Linked DNA regions of Elephas maximus indicus. Each later gene encodes a partner of the first gene's protein in a complex. Links are inferred from orthologs where the notes say so. Each region holds a gene or a part of one and is shown in the gene's direction. Other genes may lie near its edges.

Region 1 (7,174 bases):
GCCTCATACCAGCAACTAGTGGGTAGAAGCCAGAGATGGTGCTAAACACGCTACAGTGCCCAGAACAGCCCCACAACTAAGACTTATTGGGTCCAAAAAATATCAATAGTGCTGATGCTGAGAAACCCTTGGACTAAAGTGTTAGCAAGGAAGGTGTTAGCAAGATCAGCTAATGTTTCAAAACTAGAAAGAGAGAGAGAGGTGCTGCTTCAGACATTAGACATCTGGGAAGTTTGAGATTCTATCTGATATCTAGGAAAGGCGCTGGGTAGAGAGCTAAATACTATATACTTACCTGGAGCCCCAGTGGCACAGTGGATAAGAGCTTGGCTGCAAACCAAAAGGTCAGCAGTTTGAATCCACCAGTCGCTTCTTGGAAACCCTTTGGGGCAGCTCTACTGTGGAGTTGGAATTGACTCGAAAGCAATGGGTTTGGTTTTTTTGGTTTTATCTGGAGTTCAAGGCAGAGGGTGGGACTCCAACGGCATAGGAGGGGCTGATAACCTCATTAGGGAGTGAAGGAAGCAAGAGAAGAGAAAAAGGCTAGGGCTGAGCCTAGAGACACTGCAGTATTCAAAGGTCAGGAAGGCAGTGGAGACTAGAAGGCAGTAGGAGAAAAACCAGGATAGAGTGCTGTTTTGTAAGAAAGTGAAGAAAGCGTTCAAGAAGGAAGGAATGGTTAACTGAATTAAATGCTGCTGAAAGGTCAAGATGGAGGTCACTTGTAAAGAGCAGTCCAAGTGGAACGGTGAGGTGGGGTGGATTGAAGGGTGTGGGGGAGGTGACAAAGGATGGGTGAGGAGACAATGAGGGTGGTTGACCCTTTAAAGATTTTTGTTGTGTTCTTTTTTTGTTGAGTTCTTTTTTGCTTTTTTTAAAGGTAAGGACCCTGGGTGGTACAAGTGGTATGAGTCCGACTACTAACCAAAATGTTGGTGGTTCAAACTCACCCAGTGGCACCTCGAAAGAAAGGCCTGGTGATCTTCCATAAAGATTACAGCCAAGAAAACCCTATGGAACTTAGTTCTACTCTTTAACACTTGGGATTGCCATGAGTCGGAATGGACTCAACAGCCGCAGGTTTACATATGCTATGGGAATGATTGCTCCTGCCATAATCCCCTGGTTCACCTGCCCTCTGGGAGTCCCTAAGTAGGAGAGTGGGGATGAAGGAGGGGCAGGAGGACACTTTTGGGAGTGGTGGATAAGTTCATTATCTTAATTGTGGTGATGGCTTCATGAGCATATATGTATGTCAGAACTTATCAACTTGTTAGGTGTCATCGAGTAGCTTCCAATTCATGGCGACTGTGGAAAGCAGGCTTAAGAGACATGTTGGGACATGTCTGGACAAGTGTGGCTGTCATCTTCAGTTCAGTCTATAATGAGGGGAGCAGGCCCAAGAGATAAAAAGACATTGTGAGCTTGACTAAGGAAGATAGTCATATCAGGATAACCAGAGAGACTGACAGACTTCATCAAGAAGAAACCCACATAATGGCATCAGACTTTATCATCATCAACCAGATGAGTTCAAAGAGCTCCAACGTGTACAAAAGAAGCAACAGAAGGAGACGACAGTGCTTGGAGCCTTCCCAGAGCCACTCAGTCATACGCTGAGAATTTAGGAAGCAGTGGGCTGCGTCACCTCGCCCGGGCTTACTCCTAAATTCAAGAGATGTTGCTCTCGGTCATACATTGAGAACTAGGCAGCAGTGGGCTGCGGCAGCTCACCTGTGCTTGCTCCTAGCTCAAGAGACGTTGAACGGAACGGTCACCAAGCAGTGGGTAGCGGCAGCTGGTTCGGGCTTACTTGCAGACCTTCCTGCTACAAGGTTCATGAGCCCACAGGGAGCTACGCATGATCCAGAGACCACCGCTAACCATTAAGACTGGAGATCATCACCAACCATTGAACGGCATCATTGAACTGCACCATCTAATTGCTGTCCTCGCTTGCCGTAAGTTTGACCTGTGTCTTTCATTTCTCCCCTCCTTTGGTTATCGGAAACCCTGGCGGTATAGTGGTTAAGGCTACAGCTGCTAACCAAAGGGTCGGCAGTTCGAATCTGCCAGGCACTCCTTGGAAACTATATGGGGCAGTTCTACCCTGTCCTATAGGGTTGCTATGAGTTGGAATCGACTCAATAGCACTGGGTCTGGTTTTTTGGTTTTTGGTGATCTGAGATCTCTGGCGTCTGGGATAGCCAAGAACCTACTAATGTGTGTTTGTGCTTAATGAATTGAAGAAATTAATGTAAGACCTAAAAAAAACTGTTTAATAAAGACATTGTGGAAAGACACAAATAGTGTGGAGTAGTCTATAAGACTCTTCCTCACCACAGCGACCCTATCTACAACAGAACAAAACGCTGCCCAGTGCTGCCTGGTCCTGCACCATCATCACAATCATTGTTATACTTGAGCCCGCTGTTGCAGCCACTGTGTCAATCATCTCACTGAGGGTCTTCCTCTTTTTCACTGACCCGCTACTTTACCAAGCATGTCCTCCGGGGACTGATCCCTCCTGATAACATGTCTGATATACGTGAGATGTAGTCTCACCATCCTTGCTTCTAAGGAGCAACTACCCTGTTGTCGAGTCAATTCCGACTCATACTGACCCTACAGGACAGAATAGAACTGCCCCACAGAGTTCCCAAGGAGCGCCTGGTGGATTCAAACTGCCGACCTTCTGGTTGGCAGTCAGTGCTCTTAACCACTACACCACCAGGGTTTCCAAAGAGCAACTAGTACACTTTAAATATGTGCAGTTTATTGCATGGCATTATACTTCAAAAACATTTTTTTTAAGGCACCCACAAAACGATGAAGTTGAAAGACATCTGCTAGCATTCCCTGATAGATCCATATTCTGGTGAGATAAATGATTCATACAGATTCAAAAGATCTTAAGGCTGGAAGTCCCCTTGGTGGCCCCCTCCCCACTTTTTCCCTGTAAGGGTTCCCTGCCCACTCCACCCTACCCCACCCTACCCCACCCCACCCCAGCACTCTGGTCCAGGTGATGGTGATACAGATAGGATTAACTGTGCTCGTGGAACAAAAGAGCTGCTAAAAGATTACCAGCTAGAAGTTGGGTAAACAGGAACCACACCCTGTCAACATGAGAAAAGGCTGAAACGACCCAGGAATTACTATCTCCTTCTTAGTGTTTTTTCTAGTCCCTTCCCCCTTTACAGCCTTCCACATGCACAGAACAAAGTGTGACGGCTGTTTAACCTTCCTTATCCCTCCAAAGATGGTGATGTAGTGCCAAAGATCAGTGTGCTTGCCCTATATCCCATAGTAAGTGATGCCAAGGGCTGCCGAGAGGAATCCATCTTGAATATCAGCAGGTACCATTTGGTTTCCAGATGTGCACAGGCAACCTAAGCGCAATCTAATTAACATGCACAGTCATTCTGGGAAGTACCCAACCCTTGAAAGAAGCCCACTAAATATTCATTACTCTATTGTCTCCACCAAACCCATACAAGACCTTGATTGCCTTTTCGAGTCAGTCTGTTAGAGAGGCTTAGATCCTCACTGACTCCCTTTGCTTGACTCAAGCAAAATAAAGCTTGCTGAAAATAAAGTTTGTCTTTCACCTGTATTCTTACTCGGGAAAAGACAAGGACCCTTTGTGTCAGATTGGCAATTGGTAACAGCGGGAGAGGATTGCATGGGCCACCACTGCTCACCGGCCCCCACTGATGGGCCTTCACGACCTAATTTGGGCAGGGAGAGCAGTCAGCCTGCGGAACCACTAATACCTGCCTTTTGGATGAAGCCAAGACACCAACTGGGTGTCGCCCCTGGGTCATAATAATCAGCATCGGTTCAAAAAGCAGACAGGGGAATAGAAGGGAATATTTGAAGACTGCTCTTCTAAGTCCCAATTTGACTGAGGGAGCGAATGAGAGCCAGAGGGTTCCCAGGCCTAATTGGGCGTGGAGCAATTGTCCACCTCCTTGTCTTTAGCAGGGAAGACATGGGTGGGGCAGCGGAAGAGAGGAGAAGAGAAGGGGCGGTCAGGCCACGCTCTAGCTCTGTGAGTTTTAAACCGGCCCCTTCACTCTGCGGTTTTAGTTCCAAGTCGACCCAGCAGAGGTAGAGCCGAGAGCGGACGGAGCACGGAAGAACTACATTTCCCAGCAGGCCGCGGGAGCCGGCCATTCTTCCTGGCGCCCGCAGAGCGGCCCCTGGAGCTCGGCGTGCAGGCGGACGGACACATGGAGCCCGGCGGCCGGTGGCAGAACCTGCCTAGCGGGCCTAGCCTAAAGCACCTGACCGACCCCGCTTACGCGATCCCACGGGAACAGCAAAAGCCAGCGTTGCAGGAGCTGACGCGGGCCCATGTTGAGTCCTTCAACTACGCGGTGCGAGAAGGACTCAGCCATGCAGTGCAGGTGAGCGCGGCGTCCCCCTCGCCGCTTGCCGTTACGAGGTGAAGCTGGAGGTGGGCTGAGAGAAGGGCCGGCGGGCTGGGAGGGAGCGAGGCGCTGCGGCTGGAAGGCGGCGGGCCTGGAGCGCGGGGTGCGGTGGGGTGCGGCGGGTGCGGGTGGGTGCGGGTGGGGCGTGGCGGATGCGGATGGGTGCGTGAGGCGTCCAGCCTGCTGCCGGGGGTCGAGGGCGGCGGGCCGGGCCGGGCCGGGCCGGGCCGGGCCAGCGGTTCCGGAGAAATGGCCGCGAGGTCACCATGTAATCACAAATATGAGCCCCTTGATCGGTTCCCCAGGGAACGCCAGAGAGCAAAACAATGTAAAACGGACGCAGTCCTTTGCCTCGTAAGACCTGGAGCCGAGTCGAGTAGGGAAAAGTGCATTTGTGATTGCTGGGTTTATATGGGATTGCAGACTGTGGTGTTTTGAAAGATTGTGGGTGTTGTGAGAGTGAGGAAGTGACCCGTCTGGGCTTCCCAGCCGTTCTCAACGCTAACTTCTTGGTGTTCCGCGAAGACTTACTTCCAAAGGTTCCGAAACTAGTCGTAGACAGACTGTGAAGTCAGTATACGGTCGTTCTTCAGGTTTTCTCTCAGAGCTTTAAAGAGAAACTACGAGGCACCTGCTCGGATTTGGCAGGTGTTGAGAAAGATGTAAATGAGCCATAAAGGCAAGATTTCTTCTGACCTGTCCAAGAAAATGGGACGTACTTTTGAGTAGAAAGTGTAGTAATAGCTCTCTTAGGTAGCATAGGTGTAACCAGAGTTCAGGTGAGGATGTTGCGGGAAGGTCTCACTGAATTACCATCCCAGTGTCTCCAGGTCCTAGGCCACATAAGAAGAAGGTGGACATGAAAGCCCTCGGGGCCAATACTCTTAACTGCCCTGGCAAGGGGTAGTGTAAGGAACTGTGGCCAGCATAGAAGGTACAGCAAATCTAGGCGTTTGAGGTTAAAGGAAGAGGAGAATGCTTCCCTCCAGGGACGTGAAGGAGCAGAGCCAGCTACTCGGGGAACACTGAACAGGTTGGACTTGTGTTGTCAGGAAAAGGATGGAGAGAATGTGGAGGTCTCTGATTGCCAGTTTCTGATACTTGAACTCTGTTCTGCAAATAATGTGGGAGCCATTAAGGTTTCTTTGAAGATTAAGGCTCCTTAGCCTTTTTGAGGAAGACAATGGGAAATATTTCTGTCGTGCCTGAACTCTTACTGTATCTTGTCTGTGAGAAAATTTTATATATATATATATAGTTAACAATTAGCAGTCTGTGGGTGGCACACATGGTTAAGCGCTCAACTACTAGCCTTAAGGTTGGTGATTTGAAACCACTCAGAGCCACCTGGGAAGACAGTCCTGGCAATCTGCTTCTGAAAGGATCAAACAAACAAAACCAAACCCATTGCTAACAAGTCGATTCCAAACCCCCGTGGAGCAGTTCTATTCTGCACATGTAGGGTCGCCTGGAGTCAAAATCAACGGTTGTATCCAGCCTCTTAGAAGTGCATTCCTGACTTCTGTGAGTCAGAGAGCTGGTAATCTGTTGCGCTGTCTATTCAGCATCTCTAGAGATCGCTAGTGCAGCTGTGGCTTGAGAAAGTGAATCTTTTCTCCCTTCTTTAACAGTCCACCCTTAAGTATGAAATCTATTACAAAATTTATTTTAGAATAAAGTATTCTAAAATAACACCAGCCTTCGATAAAACTTAAAAATTTTGGAAAGTTTTCAAAATTTTTAAATAGACAACAAAAGTGTACTACTTGTATTTCCAAGTCGGCACAAGATCATTCATAATTTCAAAACAACAATTTATTGGATGATAATGAAGTTGCAGAGATTATTGTGAGTACAGCCCAAGGTAACTAGTAAGAGCATGGTAACTTGAGTTAATCTCTGGAAATGCATGTGTTTATGCCTTAAACTCTTTACCTTAGAAAATTTTAGAAATGAGAATACACAAACACACATGCTACTAGCTGCCAGAACGCTGACATCATTACACTTCACGTAGCCTCTGGAAAACTCCACTGTGCTTACATGAGAGAATGCGTGTGAAAAAGACAAATAATGTCCTAGGATTACTATGCAAATAGCTTGGACCTCATGGGCACCCTGAAAGGGTCAGAATACATTTTGAAATCTACTGGTATAAAGAATTAAAAAAAAAAACTCATAGCAACCCTGTAGGACAGAGTAGAACTGCCCCATGGGGTTTTCAAGGAGCAGTTGATGGCAGTGGGTTAATGGGTATCTTAATTATTCTTGTATATCCATGTCTAGAGTAGCATCTCCTACTTGGTGACTGGTAAATTGAACTCACTCGAGGGTGGAGGACCCCCTTTGTATTCTTGGCTCAGTTTTCAGCATTTTCATTATTCTGACATTAAGGCCAGGAAGTTGTTCATACTTAATAGAAAAAACTAAAAGTAAAAGTCATAAACTGAGTCTTAACCTGAACTTGTCTCTGCCAAGTGGATAGAATAAATGGATTGTTGTGTGCTGTCAGGTCGATTCTGACTCATAGCCTCCCTATATGACAGGGTAGAACTGCCCCGTTGGGTTTTCTAGGCTGTAATCTTTACGGAAACAGATTGCCAGGCCTTTTCTCCCCCAGAGAAGCTGGTGATTCAAACTGCCAACCTTTCAGTTACCAGCCGAGCGCTTAACCATTACACCACCAGGGCTTCTTATAAATGGATTAAACCCACTGCCGCTGAGTCGATTCTGACTCA
Region 2 (7,906 bases), on another chromosome or scaffold:
TGTTAGGGAATGGTGAGGAAAAAAATGTGCTACTCATTTCTCTGCAACTATATGTCCAAAGTCTCAAATCCAGATAGGTTGTCTATACACAAATGTGAATATAGGCATATATGAATATATGGGTACATATTTGTGCACAGATAGATGTGTCTATAATCATACGTACATACAGGTATGTGTGTGCATGCATGTATACTTATATATATGATAAACCACATAGGGACCACAGTTTCGGATACTTCCTAAAAAAAAAATTTTTTTTTTTTTTTACTTCCTAGACATAACCAAATACCATGTGAGATTGGTTTTCTGGGTTTGAAGGCTTAGGACCAGAGTTTCATGGGACAATTCATTAATTGGCATAATATACTTCATAAAGTGTATGCTCTACATCCCAATGTGGTGAGTAGTGTCTGGGGTCCTATAAGCTTGTGAGTGGCCATCTAAGATACAATTTTTGGTCTCTACTTGTTTAGAACAAAAGAGAAAAAAGGAAACCAAAGACTCAGAGAACAAAGCAGTCTACACAAACCATGGCCTCATCTTTCATGAGACCAGAAGAATTAGATGGTGCCCGGCTACCAGTAATGATCATTCTGATCAGGGCCACAATAGATGGACCCTGATAGAACTGGAGAAAATTGTGGAACAGAACTCAAATTCTTAAAAAGTCTAGATTCACTGGACCAGTTGACACTAGAGGACTTCCTGAGACGATCACCCTGAGATAGTCTTTAATCCTTAAACCAAAGTTAACCCTATAGGTCACCTTTTAGCTAAATAACAGATTGACTTCTAAAATAAAGGACATCACCTGTGAGTAATGAACTCCTTTAAAAAAAAAACTAAATGGTGAAAAATTACACTAAAGCAAAGATGAGAAGTTAAGGGGGCAGGGAAACTAGACTACTCAAAATGGTATAACCAGAATGAGAACGATGATACATTGTAAAAAAATGTAACCAATATCCCTGAATAATGTGTATAGAAATGGGAACCTAACTTGCTGTGTAAACTTTCACCTTGAACACAATAAAATATTATTTAAAAATACAGATAGGCTATTTAAATACTTTACATGTACATAAAATTCTTACAAAGTCATTCATTCATTCAACAAAGGTTTATTAAAAATCATGTGAGCTAAGCAATGTTATAGACCCTGGGCATACAACGATAAATAAAAAGACAGAAGTCCCTGATCTCAAGGAGCTTATAGTCTAGACCAATACATTAATTTCTGTTCAGTTTAATATTTATCACTCTCCCTATTCCACAAACAGCCAGTCCAATATTTCAACATTTTAAATCAGGGCTGGCCTTGAAAATAGGAGGCTTACAACTGAAAATTTTTACATGGCAAAACTTAATGCTTGGCAGGTGGATAACATTTTTTGGAAGGAGTTTGAAGCTGTACAGAATCAAGCCTTGGTGAATGACATGGGTGATGCAACTGCAAAGGAGAATTTATCTAGTTTCACTTTAAAATAGGAGACCTGGGGCATAGTGGTTAAGAGCTCAGCTGCTAACCAAAAGGTTGGCAGTTCAAATCCACCAGCCACTCCTTGGAAACCCTGATGGGGCAGTTCTACCCTGTCCTGTAGGGTCGCTAAGAGTTGGAATGGACTCCACAGCAATGGGTGGTCTTTTTTTATATTAAAATAAGGAGTCAGTCCCACTGGACTAGGTGTTTCTTGAGGGCAGTGAATTTGTCTTGTTTACCTTTCATTCCCTAAGAGCTGGAAGAGTGTTTGGCATATGCTGGGTGTTTAATGAATCTTTGTGAAATAAATGAATTGACAAGTGAATGTGAAGTGAGAGAAGAGCCACTCCGTTGACTTATAACTTTAAATATCATCTGGTCAGAGATAAGGTCCTTGAGTGCTGAAAACGGTTTGTGTTTGACTACCAGTGGAAGGGCTGGCAGTTTGAACGTGCCCAATAGGGCTGCTGAGGAAAGGCCTGGCAATCTGCTTCTGTAAAGATTCCAGAAACCAAAACCCATTGCCATTGAGCTGATTCCGATTCATAGCAACCCTCTATGACAGAGCAGAACTACCCTATAGGGTTTCCAAGGCTTTGAATTTTTATGGAAATAGACTGCCACATCTTTCTCCCACAGAGTGGCTGGTGGGTTCAAACCACTGACCTTTCAGTTAGCAGCTAAGCACTTAACCAACCACTGTGCCACCAAGGCCCCTTTCTGTAAAGACTACAGCCCAAAAAAAAAAAAAAAAAAAAACCCATGGAGCTCAGTTCTACTTTGTAACACACGGAGTCCCCATGAGTCAGAATTGACTCGATGGCAACAGATTTGCTTTTTTTGGTTTAGTCAGAAATAACTCCCAAATGTATATCTCCAACCCAAAACTTAAGGAGTTCCTGGGTGGTGCAAATAGTTAAGTACTCAACTACTAGCTGAAAGTTTGGTGGTTCGAACCTACCCAGAGGCACCTCAGAAGACAGGCCTGGTGATCTCCTTCTGAAGGGTCACAGCCTTAAAAACACCGTGGAGCAGTTCCACTTTGGACACATGGGGTCACCATGAGTTGGAACTGACTTGACAACAACTAGCAACAATCCAAAACTTTCCTCCGAATCCTAAACTCCTATGTCCAATTGCCTTCTCACTCTACCTGGATGTCTTATAAGCATCTCTAACTTAAAACTGCCAAAATCAAATTCCTTATTCCTCCCCTATCCTACTCCCAAACTATTGCAACCACAATCCATCCCAACTCAGTTGATGATGGCTCCACCCTTCTAGCTGGTAAAGTCAAAAATCTTAAAGTCATCCTTGCCTCTTTTCTTTCTCTCACAGCCCACTTCCAGGCCATCAGAATATCCTGTTGGTTTTACTTTCAAAGTACTATCTGTCCATAATCTGTCTACTTCTCACTGTCTCCACTGCTTCCATCTTGTTCATGCTACTATTATATCTTACCTGGACTGTTGCAATAGTCAGCTAACTTCTCTCTCCACCCCTTCCTTTGCCCTGCCCTCCTCCCCAGCACTCTATTTTTCCCACAACAGCCAGAGTGATTAAACATAAGTCAGATCATGTGACTCCTCCAATGACTTCCCTAAGTTTTCCATATAAAAGTTGAAGACCTTACGAAGGCATTGTTTTCGACACTCCCTTTAGCTCACCAATCCAGCCATTCACTGACCTTCTTCATGATCCTTAAACGACATGACACAAGGCTCAGGACTCAGGGCCTTGGTACTCACTGCTACCTCTGCCTTGGAACACTGTTCTCAACATGGCTCTTCCTCCCTTGTCTCAAATATTACCTTTTCGGTGAGATCTTTCTTGACTACCCCATTTAAAATTGAAACTACCTATCTGTCAGTTTTAGTACTATGGTAGCTCCTGTGTTGCTGTGATAATGGAAGCTATCCCACTAGTCTTTCAAATACCAGCAGGGTCACTCATAGTGGGCAGGTTCAGCAGAGCTTGCAGACTAAGACAGACTTGGAAGAAAGGCCTGCTGATCTACTTCTGAAAAACCGGCCAATGAATACAGTATGGATCACAACAGAACATTGTTTGACTCACTTGTGTGGACATGTCACCGGGAGGGATCAATCGCTGGAGGGGGATATCACGTTTGGTGAAGTAGAGGGTCAGGGATGACGCAGGACCAGCAGCTTTTCCTTCTGTTGTACGTTAAGTTGTCAGAGTCGACTCCCTGCAGTTATCTATCTTAGCACTCCCATTCTCCTTTCCTGCTTTATCGTTCTTCTTGGCACTCACCACCTTTTAACATATCATATATTTTTTTCTTATTTATTTTTTTCTCTCCCCACAAGAATATAATCTATGAAGGCAGGGACTTTTGTTTTTTTCCTTCACTGCTAAATCCCCAGGTCCTAAAACAGTGCCTGTTGAATGAAAGAACTGAATGAATAAATCAAGGAATAAATGTGTTCAATGTATGAACAATAATCGCTGAACGTATTGAGCTCTTACTATGGCTCAGTTATAAGGGATTCACAGGCAACATCTAATTTTTGCAGAGGAGGAAACTGAGAAACAAGCAGAAAAGATGTGATTAGAAACGCAGGTCTGACTCAGCAACCTGTGTTCTTTCTTTTCTTCCAAATCCCGATGCCTGTGAATAAGAAAGACAAGAAGAATTGACGCAGTTCAGTTACGGTTTTGGCGAGTAATATTGAATATACCATGAACTGCCCGAAGAATGAACAAATCCGTCTTGGAAGAAGTATAGCCAGACTGTTCGTTAGAAGCAAGGATGGTGAGACTTGTCTCGGGTACTTTGAACATGTTACCAAGCGGGATCAGTCCCTGGAGATAGACATCATGCTTGGTCAAGTAGAGGGTCAGCGAAAAACAGGAAGACCCTCGGTGAGGTGGATTGACACAGTGGCTGCAACAATGAGCTTTAGAAGCATAATAGCAATTGTGAGTATGGCGCAGGACCCAAGAGTGTTTCGTTCTGTTGTACACAGGGTGGCTATGACTTGGAACCAACTCGACGGCACCTAACGCTGTACACACTCCTGTGCCAGTAAGAGGTGGAGAAAGCCAGTCGTGGAACTCAAACGGTTCGAGTCCATGTTCTGGAACGTGGCACCCCACTGCCTCCCTTGGCAGCCTGAATAAATCAGTGGGTCTTGGAGTGAAAGGCCGTCAAAACAAAGCATGACTGAATTAGTTCAGCAGTAGGCACCGCTCAGTTTCTTACTGGTTCATACCAAGCCTAGGTCAAGGGGTGCTCTCAAATGGGGGCTTTGGGTTCCTTCCTTCCGGAGCGAACAGGGGTTTCACCTGGGCCGAAGGCGCCGGAATCCAATGTCAGGGGGTTCTGTTTCCGGCCGGAGGGCTCCTCTCGTGGCTCCCGGAAGCTGCGCTCGCTGCCGGGGTAACGGGCCTTTGCGGCGGGGGCGGCGGCCGTAGGGGCAGGAGCGGAGCAGTTATGGACCTAGACGAGGCGGTAAGGAGGCCGTTGTAGCCAATAGGCTACGGAAAGCTGGGGGAGGAGGGGAGTGAGGCTGAGGAGAAGGGGTTGGAGGACGCTGACTAGCTGTGAGGGAAGCCGTTGGAAGAAGGAGGGCGGATTGGAAGGATGCAGAACGGGGAAACGGGATGGGGTTGACCGGCAGTCCCGGGGAGCGTTCGTGCGCGTTTTTGGAAAAAGGCTGGAGTGTCTGGCTTGGTGAGGTTGTGGGTGAAGGGAGGGCGGTGTGCTTGTCGATGTGGGTGTATTACGGAGGAGGGCGAAGTTGTGGGTTTTGCGAGGTGGCCACCCACTGGCTCCTCTTCGCCCGACGGGACCACCCCCAAGCTCCCTCTGATGCTGGGATGGGTGAGGGCGGGGCAGCGGATGGAACCAGAATGCACCCAGGTAACCCCGGCCGGTCCCTCTGGGACTCCTGCCACAGCCTGGTGCCGTGACTCCAAATTCTAGTTTTGGAACACCCCAAGGTCATGACAGTTGAAAACGTTATCAAGTTGTTAAAATAAATTTTGCGTTCATTTTTGACCTGCTACATAAAATGCAGCAACTTTTTAAGGGTATTACGGGAGGATGAGGGAATTAAACCAAACCAAACCCGTTGCCGTCGAGTCGATTCCGACTCATAGCAACTGTATAGGACAGAGTAGAACTGCCCCATGGAGTTGCCAAGGGACAGCTGGTGGATTTGAACTGCTGACCTTTTGGTCAGCAGCCGAGATCTTAACCACTGAGCCACCAGGGCTACATTTAGATAAAGGATATTAAGTCAAACACCAAAGACATTGGGAATAAGTAATTTAGTGTCAGAGAATTAGGCCTAAGGGAAACCCTGGTGGCTTAGTGGTTAAGTGCTACGGCTGCTAACCAAACGGTTGGCAGTTCAAATCCGCCAGGCGCTTCTTGGAAACTCTATGGAGCAGTTCTACTTTGTCCTATGGGGTCGCTATGAGTCGGAATCGACATGATGGCACTGGGTTTGGTTTTTTGGTTTGGATGTACCCAAGCAGTACGGTGATGTTGTTAGGTGCCGTTGAGTCGCTTCCGACTCATGGTGATCCCTGTGCACAACAGAAGGAAACACTGGCTGGTCCTGCACCATCCTCACAATTGTTACGCCTTCATCGCAGTAGATGTGCAATAACTGTTCTGTAAATGCTAGATTAAGAAAATTAATTATTATAACTCATCAATGGCCTGTTATACTCTAAGTAGGGATCACATCTGTTTTGCTCACCGACTCCCCAGCACCTAGTAAAATACTGGCACATACGTAGCTGGTACTCATTATGTTGCTGAATAATACATCAGAACTTGAAGTACCCTAATAAACACCTAGCTCCTTTGTGGTGGGTATGTGTTTGTAGTGTCCTGGAGGAAGTTCCCAATGATATGCTACTTCTGTTTTTGAAGTCTTCTCTATACTTAATTTTTGTCTTCTTTTTTCTTACAGCATTTTCGGGAAGTTGTATTTACTTTTCTCTTTGTTTCCAATTTTACTCCTACCACCTTTTCTTCTTTTTTCCCTCACGGCCAAGTTTAGAAAATTTTCCCTAATAGTTTAAAGTGGTTCCATACTGATCAAGAGACTGAACCGTTATTGTACTTATTTGCAAATAATCTATATTCTGTGATAATGACAGGGAATACTCTAAGCAGAAATACAAGGTTTAGGTACAATGTATTGAATGTGGTTTGAGAGTAACACCTCTTTTATCCTCCTCTCCTCTAGAAAGAGTTCAAAGAACGCTGTACTCAGTGTGCTGCCGTCTCTTGGGGTCTTACTGATGAAGGCAAATATTATTGTACTTCTTGCCACAATGTTACAGAAGTAAGTAATAGATATAATTTTTGAATTTATGTTTTAAAAATACATTTTCAACCTAATAGTAGCATAATCCCCAAAGAATTGATGTATTTTTCTCACTCATGCAATGTCACAGTTCCAAGAATGTAAAGTCTTCAAGTGCTTACAAATAGGTTAAGGAATTTGTAAATTAGACTTAAGATGAGTTTTTGAAATTATGGTGAGCCACATTTAAAATTGATTTCCTGATTTAAACTGTGGTTTAAGGGGAAATAATTAAAATTGGACTTAGAAGACGATGCATTTCTTTATATTAGTTAATACTTATTTAAGAGTTTTTAACGTGCCAAGATAGTGTAGAGGTTTGGGGCAGGGGATGCATTAGAAAAATTGAAAACCGTTGAGAGTATTGGAAATTATGCTTCGTTATCATTTTACCTTTGTACAGTACTTCACAGATTACAAAATGTTTTCTTATCCATTATATCATTTCCACCTTGTAATAACCTGTGAGATACACTGTTATGCCTATCCATAGATGGGGCAAGTAGGCCTCACAGGGGTTGAGTGCGTTTGCCAAAATCACACAAGTATAATGTGTCTGAGCCAGGACTTGAATCTGAGTCGTTTGACTCCAGTGTTCTTTTAACCCCAGCATACCTGCCTCTTAATATAGAAATTGTCACACTGGTCTGTGTAACCTTGGTAAAATGAGGCTACTTTTACGCTGGAAGTGCTAGGTCCTTTTCTGATTACCACACGTTAAGGGCAATAGAACCAAAATAATCATGTGTGGACAACCTGCTGTTGGACAGACTAAACATGCCAGCACTCTTCAGACTGCACAGAGCCATGATGGAACACGTGTAACAAATATTGCCATCGCTAAGTGGGCTTATGAAAGGCAAATTTGGAATAAGACTTCTGCTTCTGGCCAAAATGGAGTAACAGGGACCAGATTTACCTGCTGTCTTACTTTCCTGGTGCGGCTGTAACACAGATACCACAAGTGGGTGGCCTTAAAGAATAGAATTTTATTTTCTCACAGTTCTGGAGGCTAACAGTCCAAGTCAGGGTCCCCAGCCATGCTGATCCCATCTTTGTCAGTATCCCAGGAAAT
Region 3 (7,597 bases), on another chromosome or scaffold:
GGTCACACGATAACTAAGAGCCCAAGAGACAGAAAGGGCCACATGAACCAGAGACCTACATCATCCTGAGACCAGAAGAACTAGTTGGTGACCGGCCACAATCGATGACTGCCGTGACAGGGAGCACAACAGAGAACCCCTGAGGGAGCAGGAGATCAGTGGGATGCAGGCCCCAAATTCTCACAAAAAGACCAGACTTAATGGTCTGACTGAGACTAGAGGTATCCCGGCGGTCATGGTCCCCAAACCTTCTGTTGGCACGGGACAGGAACCATTCCTGAAGACAACTCATCAGACATGAAAGGGACTGGACAGTGGGTAGGAGAGAGATGCTGATGAAGAGTGAGCTAATTATATCAGGTGGACACTTGAGACTGTGTTGGCATCTCCTGTCTGGAGAGGGGATTGGAGGATAGAAAGAGTTGGAAGGTGGCAAAATTGTCACGAAAGGAGAGACTGGAAGGGCTCACTCATTAGGGGGAGAGCAAGTGGGAGTACGGAGTAAGGTGTATATAAACTTATATGTGACAGTCTGGCTTGATTTGTAAATGTTCACTTGAAGCTCAATAAAAGTTAATAAAAATAGATAAATAAGAATTTACACAGGGTTCCATGGGAACAGCTCACCTCTGCTTCACGTGGTGTCAACTGACCCACTCATGCAATTGCAAGCATGAAGCGCCTGTTTTGGACTGTAATGTCTGGGATGGTCTCCCTGACCTGTCTGGAACCAAGGTGCTGACTGTTGGCTCCATGTGGCCTCTCTCTCCAGCAGGACAGCCTGAGCTTCTTTATATAGAGGCTTAAGCTACTAAAAAGGCAATAACTGAAGCTGGCAGTGCATCTTTGGGAATACAGTGTTTCCTCCAGTGTAAGCCTGGGGTGGGATCCTAGTCCATGTAGTTTAGGGAATTTACAGTTGGATATGTGCTGTTGTTATCCATAAGGTTTTTTTATGTTCTGTTATTATCCATAAGGTTTGAAATTGAAGTTGTGAGGATTGTATTCTACTTGGATCAATAATCAATACCCATAGAAGCAGTGACCAAGAAATCAAACAACTTATTGCAGTGAGTAAATCTGCTAAAAAGACCTCTTTAAAGTTTTAAAAAGCAAAGATGTCACTTGGTGACTAAGGTGTGCCTGATCCAAGCTATGGTCTTTTCAATCACCTCATATGCATGTGAAGGCTGGACAGTGAAAAAGGAAGACAGAAGAATTTATGTGTTTGATTTGTGGTGTTGGTGAAGAATACTAAATATACTGTGGGCTTCCAGAAGAACAAACGGATCAGTCTTAGAAGAAATACAACCAGAATGATCCTCAGAAGCGAAGATGGTGAGATTTCATCTTGTTTACTTCGGACACATCATCAGGAAAGGCCAATCACTAGAAAAAGCTATCACATTTAATAAAGCAGAAGGTTAGCTAAAATGAGGGAAACCCTCGATGGATGGATTGACCCAATAGCCACAACAATGGACTCCAACATATCAATGATCATGTAGATGGCACAGAGCCAGGCAACATTTCATTTTGTTATACTTAAGGTGGCCATGAGTTGGAGCTGAATTGAGGGCAATAAACAACAGTTGGATAATATTTTTCTCTATGTTATTATGTGATCTGTTTTTGTTTTTATGTTATTGCTTTTGCCACATTGATTTTTTAAAGTCGTATTCATGCTATTAACTGTTGTATAGTATAGTTAATTTATGAAGATGTCTCTCCAATCGTTTAGTTGTCTGAAGCTCATTCTTCAGTAGACTGCACAGGAAAGGCTCATGGGACTACTCTTCTCTACATGTCAGTGTGCAGGCTTTTTTGTTTTTTAATGTAATTCATCATCATATTCAGTGGCTCTTTAGCACAAAGCAGTTGTGAGAACACCTTTCAGTTCTTTGGGATGTTTTCTAGATAGGAGTCTGTCTGCTTTTTGCAGGCTTCATTTTATTTTGTTTGCATTTTTGACATGTCATTCCTTTTTTATCTTGTTTATAATATTAGCTTAGACATAATATGGTCCATAAATTTTTACCAGAGTGATACCATGAGAAAGACAAGAGGAAGGTAGGGCACATAATGATAGTCATTCTTTACTTTCCCTCTTTTATGTACTGTGGCCGAGAGGTGTTGAAGAACTTTAAGGAAAACCAGATATTCTTTCTCCATTTTTGTGACAGTATGAATTTCTAGCCATGTATACAGGCATACCTTGGAGATATTGCGCATTGGGTTCCAGACCACCGCAATACAGCAAATATTGCAATAAAGTAAGTCGCACAAAATTTTTGGTTTCCCAGTGCATGTAAAAGTTATGTTCACACTATACTGTAGTCTATTAAGTGTGCAACAGCATTACATCTAAAAAAACAATATACATACCTTAATTAAAAAATACTTTATTGCTAAAAAATGCTAATCGTCATCTGAGCCTTCAGTGAGCCGTGAAGGGTCTTTTGCTGGTGAAGGGTCTTGCCTTGATGTTGACAGCTGCTGACTGCTCCGGGTGGCTGTGACAACTTCTTCAAATAAGACAGTCGTGAAATGTGCTGCATTGACTGATTCTTCCTTTCACAAAAGATTTCTCTGTAGCACATAATGCTGTCTGATAACATTTTACGCACGGTAGAACTTCTTTCAAAATCGGAGTCAATCCTCTCAAACCCTGCCACTGCTTTATCAACTAAGTTTATGTAATATTGTAAATCCTTTGTTGTGATTAACAATGTTCGTGGCATCTTCACCAGGAGTAGATCCCATCTCAAGAAAACTCTTTCTCGGCTAATCGTAAGAAGCAACTCTTCATCCATTAAAGTTTTATCATGAGATTACAGCCATTCAGTCCATCTTCAGGTGCTACTTCTAATTCTAGTTCTCTTGCTATTTCCACCATATCTGCAGTTACTTCCTCCACTAAAGTCTTGAACCCCTCGAAGTCATCCATGAGGGCTGGAATCAACTTCTTCCAAACTCCTGTTAATATTGATATTTTATGTTATATGTCACGGCAAAGGAATAAATACAGACTGACCAAGGCTATAGACTAGAGGCTAATGGCTATGTTCTTTTGTGTGTGTGCCCTCCTGGACCACACTGTGATTTAGGTCATCCCTGCCCTGGGAAGCTTGGGCACAGGCTTATGTGGGGCCAAGCACTTATGACACAAGGGGCAGCAGGAGGAACTTTTCTTGCAAGTCCGTAACTATTGCAGTGTTTACTAAGACAACACAGAACCAAGTATTCATAGCATTTCAAGGAGTCCATGTATAAGGTGTTACTGTTGTTGTTCTTAGCTGCCGGCAAGTCAGTTCCAGCTCATAACGACCCTGTGTACAAGAGAACAAAACACTGCCCAGTCCCGCCCCATCCTCACAATCTTTACTATGCTTCAGCCCACTGTTGCAGCCTGCTGTGTCAATCCATCTCATTGATGGTCTTCCTCTTTTTTACTCACCCTCCACTTTGCCAAGCATGATGTCCTTCTCCAGGGACTGGTCCCTCCTGGTAACATGCTCAAGTTATGGGAGGCAGTCTCGCCATCCTTGCTTCTAAGAAACATTCTGGCAGTCCTTCCAAGACAGGTTTGTTCATTCTTCTGGCAGTCCATGGTATATTCAGTATTCTTTGCCAACACCATAATTCAAAGGCATCACTTCTCCCTTGGTCTTCCTAGATCCTTTAATTTCCTCTATAATATCTTGATTCTGCCCAAATGGTTCACTCTTTTGGGAGGAGAAACCCCAAGGTTCCTGGGGGGAGCCTATGTCATTATTTGTGCAGGCTTAGGTGTGAACAAAATTCTTTCTTGGAATGACTTTAAAGCTGCCCTCCTTTAGCTTTCACCTGTTAGTGCTAGTTCTGTACTCTGATGCTATGAAAAGGTAGTTGAAGCCTTCTTTCACAGATCAGCTGTCCAAACACTGGAGACATACAGTGTATTCCCACGTGTCTCTGCTTTTCCCAGATCGTCATCTCTACAACCCCTCAACTGTCTATTATTTTACATAGTTTAACCGTCTTACTTCCAACCCGATCCCTATTTCATATAGGTTTGTCAGTGTCCTTCATGAAAGGTGGCCCTAAACACGTACGCAGAACAGCCCCCGTTGAGAAGAAAAACGAGATTCTAGCTCAAATTATGGTGAAGTAGTCAGAGACACTTAAACTTTAATAAAAAAGAAAAGAGCTCTTAAGAAAGTAAAGAATATGCAACAATCTATCTTGTAATGCCAGCAGCCAGCCTCCGGTAGCGCAGTGCACCTAAGCCCAGCAGAAACCGAACGGTCATCGCAGAGTAAAGAACTCGAGTAAAGTGACATTCTGCATTTTTGACTGTTCCTCCCAACCAGTTGCTCTCCTGTTGCCTAATCCCCATTTGCAATTAAATTTTCCCACTCTCCGGCTGCAGGTAACAACAACATACATCCGGAGACAAGCCACCAGGGGCGCGTCGGTTTCAGTCACTTCCGGGGTCGAATAGCGGCGATGACGTCACAGCCGAAGTGGTTGTTAGAGGTGGGGGGGGTTGCGTCACGAGGCGCCAGAGCGCCGGCGGCCGATTTTGCGCATGCTCACAAGAAGCGGTGGCCGGCGTCACTTCCGGTTCCGGTTCTCCAACGCTGTTCCGCGAAAGAGGAGGCGAGAGCAGCAGACAGGTAAATGTCCCGCACGATGTCCCTCGTTCATCGCTTGTGCTAGGGTTCATCCGTGCTCTTCTAATATTTTCTCCAGATACCCTGGAACCTTCAATTCTAAGAACAAGTGAGAGGAGGTGGAAAAGCTTTAGTTACCGTGATAACTGCGGGACAACATTTTGGGTCTGCGAATTTGAGAAGGGAGCTCTTCTGTAACGACCCCTTTAAAATACAGCTGGTGGTCGGACTCAAATTTAGATCTTATATAAAACCCTTGTTCCTAACTGCAGAATTAGGTTTTGCAAAGTTTAGTGTGGCTGTATTGTGAAGAGGCAAAATTTGGCTGTATTGTGAAGAGGCAAAATTTGAGGCAGCGTTTTTACCGTTACCCGTTGCCGTCGAGTCGATTCCGACTCATAGCGACCCCACAGGACAGAATAGAACTGCCCCGTAGAGTTTCTAAGGAGCACCTGGTGGATTCGAACTGCCAGCCTTTTGGTTAGCAGCTGTAGCACTTAACCACTACACCACCAGGGTTTCCTGGTTGTGTCAAGAGTACCTAATAATTGATTGGATATGGAGAATTAAGCATCTTCAGGATCAAGTCCAAACCCAGCCTGTCATGTGACTATCTTTCTAGGTTCCTTTCTCACCATCAGTTCCAACTGCCTTCCGCTGCCCTCCTCCACACCCCCACACCCCCAACTCCAGCCCTGTCAAGCTGTTTGATGTTACTTCTATTTCCTGAAATGTCGCCCTCATCCTTCTTGTGACATTGGGCAGCGTAGTTACCTTCACTAATTATTTTCCTCCATTTTAATGTTGAAGAAACTGAGTGGCTACTTTTAGGAAGTAGGAAGAACGTCAAACTGCTTGTCAGGGCTAGAGTTTGGGGGCTTGTGTGAAGGAGGGATGCGAAAGGTAGAACTGACCGTGAGAGAGGAACCTGGAAAGATAATCATATGCCAGGCTGACTTTGGACTTGATCCTGAAGATGCTCAGGGTAGAAAAAAAAAACACCCCACTGGTGTTGAGTGGATTCGAACTCATAGCAACCCTATAGGACAGGGTAGAACGGCCCCATAGTTACCAAGGAGTGCCTGGTGGATTTGAACTGCCAGCCTCCTGGTTAGCAGCCGTAGTACTTAAGCGCTAAGCCACCAGGGTACCTCTCCCTAATTCCCCATGTGCAGTCAGTTATTAGGTACTGTTGATGCTACCTCCAAATATTTCTCCGATATTCTCTCTTTAGGATTGCTGTTATTTAATTTAGGATTAGATTAGATAATTTATATGCCTGGCATATAGTAGGAGCCCTGGTGGCACAGTGGTTAATAGCTGCAGCTGCTACTCAAAAGGTTGGCAGTTTGAATCCAGCAGTTGCTCCTTGGAAACCCTATGGGGGACAGTTCTGCTTTGTCCCATAGGGCTGCTATGAGTTAGAATCAACTGAGTGGCAATGGGTTTGGCATATAGTAAGGATTTAAAAAATTTAGGCAAGTGCTACTACTGTTACTATCATGCTTGTTATATTGTTTTATTATGTACTTTTCTGTTTCTCTAGACTAGGTTTTTTTTTTTTAAACAGTATCATTTATATTTGTATATTCTTGGCACATAGTAGTTACTGAGTTTTTTTATCAAAAGGACCATATGTTTTGGCTGTTACTGATATAATTAAATTCATTTTTTACTTTAAAGGAACTATGAAGTACAGTGAATTCTGCTGAGTAAATGATATTTATTAGATGGCTTTTTTTTTTTTTTTTTTTGGTATAACTCAAAAGCCTATGGATTAAGGTGCACGTATTCCCAGTTTGGAATAGGTATGAGTGACTTCAGTGGCGAATTGACGAGGCCTATGGCCGAGGCTGATCAGGTGGAAAAATCAATGCTCTCTGGTACAGGAATGTCTATTCCTTGGCTCCGAAAGCAAATGGAAACTGTGGGTAAGTAAAATAACATCTAACCATTTTAACCTGATGCAAGGAGATGGTAAGGTTCAATGTGGATACAAAATGAAGAATCAGGCTGGGAAGAGCTTCCGTTTTCAAGATGGGAATATGTGAGATTTTTTTCTAGCCATGAGAAAAGAAAATAAACTGTAAAAAAAACATAGATTTTTTCTCTTGTAGAGTTCTTTTCCTTTGAATTAACAGTAAATAGTCTGTATTGTGGCAGTGTCGTAAGTTCGAGGGATATTAGGACTAATCAAGGAAGAAGATGTGACCGTGAGATTGAAGTTTGGCACAACAAAGTTTTCATTGGGTAGCCGTATGCAGGAGACCTTCTGTTGTGGCTTGAACCGTGTCCCTCAAAAATGTGTGTCAACTTGGTTAGGCCATGATTCCCAGTATTGTGTGGTTGTCCTCCATTTTGTGGTTGTAATTTTATGTTAAAGAGGATTAGGGTGGGATGTAACACCATTGCTCAGGTCACATCCCTGATCCAACGTAAAGGGAGTTTCCCTGGAGTGTGGCCTGCACCACATTTTATCTTACAAGAGATAAAAGGAAAGGGAAGCAAGCAGAGAGTTGGGGACCTCATACCACCAAGAAAGAAGCACCTAGAGCAGAGCACATACTTTGGACCTGAGGTTCCCGCAGGGAGAAGCTCTTAGTCCAGGGGAAGATTGAAGACAAGGACCTTCCTCCAGAGCCAACAGAGAGAGAAAGGCTTCCCCTGGAGCTGACACCCTGAATTAGGACTTCTAGCCTACTAGACTGTGAGAAAATAAATTTCTCTTTGTTAAAGCTGTCCACTTGTGGTATTTCTGTTAGAGCAGCACTAGACAACCAGGACACCTTCCACAGGCAGCAGACATAGAGAGCCATCAGAGGGGAAAAAACCAAGTCCTTTGCCACCGAGTTGATGCTGACTCCTAACGACCCTATAAGACAGAGTAGAACCCTGGTGGCACAGTGGTTAAATGCTTAGCTGCTAAACCAAAAGGTCAGCAT
Region 4 (7,733 bases), on another chromosome or scaffold:
ACAGGCTGTGAAGATCAGGAATCCCAAGATCGGAAAATAAGCTGATAGCTCAAGTCCCAAGAACCAGAGGTCAGACGAACTGGAGGCAGCTGCAGATCCACAGCCAGCAAAAAGCCAGAATATCTGCTTATATTCTGATGCAGGCCACACCCCCAAGGAAACACCCCTTCCACTGATCCCCTACTCACAACAGATTCCATCATGGGAGTGATCACATATAAACACTGAGAATCAAGGCTCACAATCTTAACCATCACATACTTCTGTGAAACTAATGAGGCAGGATTAGGGGCAGTTTATGTTAATGAGGCAGAACTCAGTCTACAAGATTAGGTCATCTCTTAAGTCAGTCTCTTTTGAGATATAAAAGAGAAGCAGAGAGACAGGGGACCTCATACCAGCAAGAAACAAGAGCCAGGAGAAGATCACATCCTTTGGACTCAGGGTCCCTGCATTGAGATTTTCGACCAGGGAAGATTGATGACAACGACCTTCCCTCAGAGCCGACAGAGAAAGCCTTTCCCTGGAGCTGGCACCCTAAATTCCGACTTCTAGCCTCCTAGACTGTAAGAGAATAAATTTATCTTTGTTAAAGCCATCTGCTTGGGGTCTTTCTGTTATAGCAGCACTAGATAACAAAGACATAGCCCTTTACTTGACGATGGGAATATTCTATATCTATATTGTCCATAGGTTCACCACTAGCCACATATGGCTATGGAGCACCTGAAGTGTGGCCAGTGTGACTGAGGAACTGAATATTCAATTCTATTTCATTTCAATTAATTTAAACTTAAATAGCCACATGTGGCTAGTGGCTACCCTATTAGACAGTGCAGCTATAGGGTTTTCTGAACTTAAGTCATTCACACATCACCTTAATTATCTTTGCCAGATCTTTGAGCCACTAATACTATTCTTTCCTTACTATTGTTCTTTTCACTGACTCAGCTTTAAAACTCAAATAAACATATTTAAAAAGATGATTTTATATGTGAAAAGGTGCTCAACATCATTAGTTACCAGAGAAATTAAAACCAAAATGAGGTACCACTACATGCCCACTAGAGTGACTACAATAAAAAGGACTGACAATATTAGGTGTTGGTGAAGATGTGGAGCACCAGGCATTCTCATACACTGGTGGTGGAGGGTAAATTGTTACAACCATTTAGGAAAAAAGATGCAGGAATTCCACTTCTGGAAATATATCCAAGAGGAATGAATGCATATAGTCCTCAAAAGATATCCACAGGAATGTTCAAGGTAGCTTTATAGCCATACAATTGGAAGCAACCCAAATTCCATTAGAAATAGAATGGATAGATTGTGGTGCATTCATGCAATGGAATACTATATAGCAAGGAAAAGGAACGAACTATGGCTACATGCAATATCGTAAATCGATCTCAGACATCATGTTGGGTGAAAGAGGCCAGAGGTAAAGGAGTATAACCAAACCCAGTGCCTTCGAGTTGATTCCGACTCATAGCGACCCTATAGGACAGAATAGAAGTGCCCCATAGAGTTTCCAAGGAGCGCCTGGCGGATTCAAACTGCCATCCCTTTGGTTAGCAGCCATAGCACTTAACCACTACGCCACCAGGGTTTCCATAAAGAGTATACACTGTATAATTCCACGTGCATGAAATTAAAAAATGGGTAAAACTTAGCTATATGATAGAGCTCAGAATATTGGTGACATCTGGAGGGGGATATTGACTTTGAGTAAGCTTGCAGGTGCTATAAGTGTTCAATATCTTGACCTGGGTGGCAGTTACACGGTAGATACATATGTAACATGGATACTATAGATACCACCACCAGTTGCCCTCAAGTCAATTCTGACTCATAGCATCTCCACGTGTGTCAGAGTTGAACTGTATTCCACAGGGTTTTCAATGGCTGTTTTTTTAGAAATAGATTGCAAGGCTTTTCTCCTGAGGTGCCTCTGGGTGGACTCGAACCACCAACTTTTTGGTTAGTAGCCAAGCTCACTAACCGTTTGCACTACTCAGGGACTCCATACTATGCATACCAAAAACAAAAAAACATGGCCTTTAAGTTGATTCCGACTCATTACTGTCTGTAAACTATACCTTCCTAAAAAAGAAAAAAATAAATAAAAAGAATAATAAAGGAACAATGGTTCCAAAACAGGTGAGGGGGGAAGACTTTACAACTATCTTAAATAAAAATAAAACACATTTCAATACACGTTAGTACATGCAACCCCGAAAATACGTTAATCTATGTGCCACTGAAATTATTCACGCACACCAGGAACTCAAACACCAGACTTTGTGAACACACTACGAGGTTTTTATGTGGGCTAGTGCTGGGATGCTGGCAACCAGGGAAGAGCTGGGGCCAAGTGGCAAAGGTGTAGCTAAGGCTTATGCCTCCTCACCAGCCTGGGCTGGGTCATGGAATGCTGAGGATCTGCTTCAAGGCTTATGCCAGAAACTAGAGGGGGTTGGAGGGTTGGGAAAGAGGACAAAGAAAAAGGGCCAAGGGCAAATTCTCTCAGCTCTGGCCCATAGCCCAAGTCCTAGACTTGGCCCATAGCCCAAGTCCTAAACTCCTGACCTCATCAGAGATGCAATGGATGTAAAACAAGCCAATGGGTTTCCAAGTAGGAAGAGTGCCAGCCATGATTTTTGCTACCCAAGGAACGAAAAATCAATAATAATCATTCTTATGATTCATGTCTATCCTGTTTTGTTCCAAAGCACTTTACCGAAAGGTCCCTTGGCCCAGCCAAGAAGTTCAGGACCAGGACCCAGGACACCTGGACTCCAAATCCGTGTGTGAAATAGTTGGAATTTTTGGGGGGTCTAAGTTTTTCCCAATGTCTTTGTGGCAAGTGACATCTGTAGTCTATTTTACAGTTTTACAAAATTTTAGCAGAGTAAATAGGATGGCTAGTCTAATTTTGCAGATGTGGAAATTGGAATTCTTAAGAGGGTGGTGAAGCTGGGACTTTTGAGTTCAAACTAACTCTTTGCTCTTTCTCAGTCTAAACAGAAGTTAGTCCGTGCTTCACTCTTTAGCACAGGAGAGGTGTCTTGATCAGACACAAAATGAATGCCCTGCCTGTGTTCCGGGGCAGATCTGGGTCTGTGGAGCCTGAAGCTTAGACAATTTGAGGTAGGCGCTCTTTCAGGAAAATACCAAATGTTAAACACAAAATTAAGTACAGGGCTTTTGGCCCGGCTCTGCCAGGGAGAGGCCTTGAAGCTTAAGCTTCATTAGCATGGTGTGGCAATGGTGAAGCATTTGGTTGTTAACCAAAAGTTTGCCAGTTCTAACCCACCTTGCTGTTCCACGGGAGAAAAGCCTTCACGGTGGGCTCCCTAAAGAGTACAGCCAAGAAAACTCTATGGAGCAGTTCTACTGCGTCATATGGGGTCGCTATGAGTTGAAATTGACTCCATGGCGCCTAACAACAAGAACAAAGTGCCTTCCCTGCATGCCCTGCCCACTAAAAGCTCTGGACACACCAGATCTTGACAAGGATTTTCCTCCCTATTTGTGAAACGTGGCAGATGTGGATGTGGAAACCCTGGGAAGAGGATCTCGTTTCTCCCAGGAGACAAGAGGAATTACAGCAGCATCGAGGCCCTGTGTGAGGCTGGAGTAGGCTGTGTGCCAGGGGAGAATCCAAAGGGGCTGGTGACCCAACTGGCGAGTCGATGTGGCAGTAGCAGCTTTGGAGAGGGCCACTGGCAACTGGGAGCCAGGAGCGATGGCGCTGCCCGTGCAGCGAAAGCACAACCCCTAGGCTGGCCTGTGGGAAGCAGGCGTTCTTCAGACTGTTTTCTGGCTCCCTGCGTCCAGATAACCCTTCCTCGGAGCAGGGAAGGCCGAGACCGACAACGACAGCCGGCGGCAGTGGGGGATGGATGGTGGTCGGCGCCCAGGCCCTTCCATCCCCCGCCCGCAGGAGGGTGGAGTGCGGGCGGCCTGCGAGGGACCTTCCCCGCTGCGGCTCCGGCGGCGAGGCCGGGGCGCCGGGATCCCCTCGCGGTTCCCAGCCGCCGGGGTTGGGGGGGGCAGCGCCCGCGGCCTGCTTTCCCAGGGCTGGCCAAGCCTTTTTGACAAGCTGATTGCGTGACGGGGATTGGCTGGTCCCGGAGTGACGCCGGTAACAACAAAGGTGGAGTTGGAAGAAATTAGATTAAAGGAGAGAAAAAAAATTAAAGGGGGAGCTGGCAGGGGACGGGAGGAAAAGACCGAGGGGAGAAGCGCGAAGCGCGGTCTTCCTGCTCCGACTTCCCCCCGGAAGCCCTTCGGCGCCAGCCGGCCAGGATTTTGCTCTCTACCTCTACCCCGGCCCAGCGATCGAAGCCGGGGTAGGAGTGGTGGCTGCTACTGCTCGAAAAATTCCCCCACTCCCATCCTGACACCCCTCGATACGACCCAGGGGGAGAACTTTTTGCTCGGACTCCTCGAATCCTAGCTCGGCGGAGGTGGAGGACGTTGAAAACGAGAGGCTCGCTTTAAAACCCGGAAGGCCCTCGCGGGTTTTAAAGCAATCGGACGACACGGGGTGTTTCCCCGGTTTTTCGATGTGTTGCAAATCTAAGAAAAGCGTCTTTTCTTTTTTTTGTAACAACCCCTCTTCGCTTCCCTCCCCCCCACCCCTCGCTTTGGCTTCAGGGTTGCAAAAGCAAAGAGCAATAAAAAAAAAAAAAAAAAAAAACCGCGCACACACTCAGACACACACCAGTGGCGACAGGGGAGAGTTGGGAAGACGCAGGAGAGAAGCAGGAGGCAGCCGGGGAGGGAGCAATGGGAGCGGGAAGCAGGCAAGTTCCCTCGCAAATCCCCCTCCGGCCCTACGCCGGCCGCCTCGCCGGCTCCGGCAGGGGAGCGAGGAGCCGGGCGAGCAGATGGAGAAGTGGAGCTCGCTCTAGGCAGCGGGCTTGGCCGGAGAATGGAGGAGCCGCCAAGCGACCGGCTGATTGGAAGAGAAACGCAGCGCGATGGAGGCGGGGGTAGGAGGACGATTTCTCTGCGGGGACTGGCGGCGGCGTACACGCCCGGGTCGGGCGCTGCAGAGCTTGGCTAGCTTTCAAACCGCGCTCGCCGGCTCCAGCCCCACGCGCCCCCACCCCAGTCCTCCCGGCGGCTCCGCAGGTGAGTGCGAGCTGGGGGCAGAAAGACCCGGAACAGTCTCCGCACGCCCGCCCTGGAAAAAAAAAAAAAAAAAGCAAAAAAAAAAAAAGCATTTTTCTTTTTCTATTTTCGTGCAGCCCCCAGCGCGGTGGGAGGGAAGGGGTGAGGCTGAGCCGCCCGAGGAGGCGGAGGGGCCAGGCGAGGCCGGGGTGGCCCGGGAGGCGGCGGCGCCGAGGCGGCTCTGACGGGCAAGCGCTCCGAGCGGCGCTGCGCTGCGCCGAGGCGGGCGGGCGGGCGGAGCGGGGCGGGCGGAGCGCGGCGCGTGGGGCTCGCCATTAGCCGTCGCTCCGCTTCGCCATCGCGGGCTTTGTCTGGCGACTCGCTGCCCCAGCGTCGGCTGCAGCGGAGCTGCGGCTCCGCTCCTCGGCCCGCCGCGCCCCCAGGTGCCCCCGGTCGGCGCTCGCACCCACACGCCCGGTGAGTGAGCCCTGGCGCCGCGGGATTTCGGGGGAGAAGGGTTGCCGCGAGCGGCTGCCAATCTCCATGCGCCGGAGCAGGCCTGGGGAAGCCATGCCGGGCTGGATTGAACCGGCTCCCAGAGCGGTTCCTCCGCCGGAGCCCGTCGCCCCCTCGCCGTTTCCGGGGTGTAAGAACCAAAAGGGGATTTTTTTGCGGGGAGGGTGTTTTGTGGGCTTTTTTTAAGTTTCGTGTGTGTCGTTCGGCAGCGTGGGGACCGCGAGGTAGGCGAGTGCCGGAGCCAGGCGCCGCGATCGCCGTGCGTGCGTCCCAAGCCGGCGGCCACGCTCCGGGGATAAGGGTGGGCGCTGATCGCCCGCTCCGGGAGACGGAAGCGGGTGAGAGCTGGCTTGGGAGCCCGGGTTGGCGCTGGGAGGATTGGCGGGAGCGCTCCGGAGCGGGGCCACGGGCACCCCGAGCCTCCCTGGCCGCCGGGGGGCCCTCCGGGCACTCTCACCGCGGCGCGCCTCGCGCCCTCCCTTCCGCGCCTGCTGAGCCTGCTAGTTTCCCCGCGAGTCTGGCGAGGTCGCTCTCGGCGCCCGCCCGCCCGCCCGCCTCGGCTCCGAGCCCCGCCGCCATCCGGGCGGCTGCGTGTCTCCCTGCCCGGCCCCCCCTCCCCGGCGGCAGCAGTAGCCGCCGCCGCCGCCACCCCCCTCCCCTCCTTCCTTCCCTCCGCCTCGGCCGCCCGGGTCCCCCCAGCTCCCGCCCCTCCTCCCAGCTGCCCCCCGCGGAGCCCGCCCGGGCAGGCTGTGGGAGGGAGCGGAGCCGGCGAGGCGGGCGGGCTGGCGCTCGCTCCCCGGGGGTCGGTGTGCGCTCTACGGGGAAGGACGCGCTCGCTGCCCCGCTTCGCCCGCCCCCTCCCGCTCCTCCTCCTCCCTTCTCCCTCCTCCTCCCCGCTCCGGCGGCGGAGGCTGCGGCGGCGGCGGGGGGTGTGCGAGCTGAGGCCGGGGCCGGCGGGCGGGCGGCGGGCGGGCGGCGGGCGGGCTGCCTGCAGGCGGAGGGCGCTGTGCTTTGTGCTTTTCGCCGCGAGGAGCAGCAGGCAGCAGCCACAGCCGCCGCCGCCACAGCAGCAGCAGCCGCCGCCCCAGCGCCGCCGCCGCGCCCGGAGGAGGAGCCGCTGCCGCCGCGGGAGGGAGCTGCGGCTGTGCCCGGCCGAGCGGGGGAGGCGCCGCTGCTCAGAGCCGGGGAGGGAGCCGCGGGAGCGGGAAGCCTGGAGGCCGCGCTGCGCCGGGTAACCGAAGCGGGCCGAGGACGCGCGCCAGGGTCGGGGCCGGGGAGCGAGCCGCGGGCGCGGGGGACGTCCGGCGGGGACCCGGGGCGACCTCCGGACAGAGGACTGGGCGAGAGCAGACCAGGGCACTGGGGAGGACGCCGAGAGCAGAAGGAGGGGAGGACAGGAAGCGAGGCCCGAGCCGAGCCCGGGCCGCGGGCGGAGAAGCCCGCGCTTCTCCGGGCCGGCAGGCGCAGTTCTCGCCGGCCGCCGGAGGGGGCGGCTGGGCCGGTGAGCGCTGCGCCCCCGCCTCCCGGCCGCCGTCCTCCCGCCCTCTCCTTGGCTCGGCTCCCCGGAGGCCGGGGCGGGGGCGCCGGCGGGGCTGGGCCGCAGGCTCGGGGGAGGAGGCGGCGGTTCCCGCCGCGGTCGCGCCTCTGCGCTGGGCTCCTCCGTGCGCGTCGGGTGGCTGGGCGGTGGCAGCGCTTCTGGCCGGGGTGGGTGGCTCGGGGGCGGGGGGCAGGCTAGGCCGCTTCTCTCCGGCTGCTCGCCTGCCCGGGCGGGCGAGGACAGCGGCGGGACCCCAGGAGGGGGGGCGGCGGAATCCGGATCCGGTCCCCGGGGGCGTTGCGGCCGCTGCGCTCCGGGGCTGGCGGCGGCTGCGCTGCGTCCGGGTCCCCGCCGGGTTGCGGAGGCGGGGGGAACCGGCCGGGGGGGAGGCGGGAGGAGGAGACTGGGGCGCGTGCCCGCTCCCGCGGCCGCGCGCGCCCTTTACCCGCCCTTCCTCCTCCCCCGCCCTTCAGCCTGGGGCCTCCCCGGGGCGGGCAGACAGAGGAGGAGGAGTTTTTTTTTTTTTTTTTTTGGCCGGGGTGGGGGAAGGAGGGTGGAG

The links.
Region 2: POLR1B (region 1) and TAF1B share a complex: the UniProt entries of both Homo sapiens proteins name them as parts of the pol I pre-initiation complex. The link is inferred for Elephas maximus indicus from reciprocal best matches to the Homo sapiens genes POLR1B and TAF1B.
Region 3: POLR1B (region 1) and TAF1A share a complex: the UniProt entries of both Homo sapiens proteins name them as parts of the pol I pre-initiation complex. The link is inferred for Elephas maximus indicus from reciprocal best matches to the Homo sapiens genes POLR1B and TAF1A.
Region 4: POLR1B (region 1) and UBTF share a complex: the UniProt entries of both Homo sapiens proteins name them as parts of the pol I pre-initiation complex. The link is inferred for Elephas maximus indicus from reciprocal best matches to the Homo sapiens genes POLR1B and UBTF.

Annotation. Positions count from the first base shown.
Region 1 is NC_064835.1:41,809,160-41,816,333, forward strand, and holds the start of POLR1B (DNA-directed RNA polymerase I subunit RPA2), read left to right. Parts: upstream 1-4,166; 5' UTR 4,167-4,235; coding exon 4,236-4,412; intron 4,413-7,174. UniProt on the Homo sapiens protein: Catalytic core component of RNA polymerase I (Pol I), a DNA-dependent RNA polymerase which synthesizes ribosomal RNA precursors using the four ribonucleoside triphosphates as substrates.
Region 2 is NC_064830.1:19,313,519-19,321,424, forward strand, and holds the start of TAF1B (TATA box-binding protein-associated factor RNA polymerase I subunit B), read left to right. Parts: upstream 1-4,890; 5' UTR 4,891-4,940; coding exon 4,941-4,958; intron 4,959-6,711; coding exon 6,712-6,810; intron 6,811-7,906. UniProt on the Homo sapiens protein: Component of RNA polymerase I core factor complex that acts as a GTF2B/TFIIB-like factor and plays a key role in multiple steps during transcription initiation such as pre-initiation complex (PIC) assembly and postpolymerase recruitment events in polymerase I (Pol I) transcription.
Region 3 is NC_064842.1:12,224,646-12,232,242, reverse strand, and holds the start of TAF1A (TATA box-binding protein-associated factor RNA polymerase I subunit A), read left to right. Parts: upstream 1-4,594; 5' UTR 4,595-4,658; intron 4,659-6,424; 5' UTR 6,425-6,465; coding exon 6,466-6,586; intron 6,587-7,597. UniProt on the Homo sapiens protein: Component of the transcription factor SL1/TIF-IB complex, which is involved in the assembly of the PIC (pre-initiation complex) during RNA polymerase I-dependent transcription.
Region 4 is NC_064837.1:50,744,107-50,751,839, reverse strand, and holds the start of UBTF (nucleolar transcription factor 1), read left to right. Parts: upstream 1-4,733; 5' UTR 4,734-5,142; intron 5,143-5,508; exon of another isoform or gene 5,509-5,598; intron 5,599-5,885; exon of another isoform or gene 5,886-5,975; intron 5,976-6,782; exon of another isoform or gene 6,783-6,868; intron 6,869-7,255; exon of another isoform or gene 7,256-7,341; intron 7,342-7,733. UniProt on the Homo sapiens protein: Recognizes the ribosomal RNA gene promoter and activates transcription mediated by RNA polymerase I (Pol I) through cooperative interactions with the transcription factor SL1/TIF-IB complex.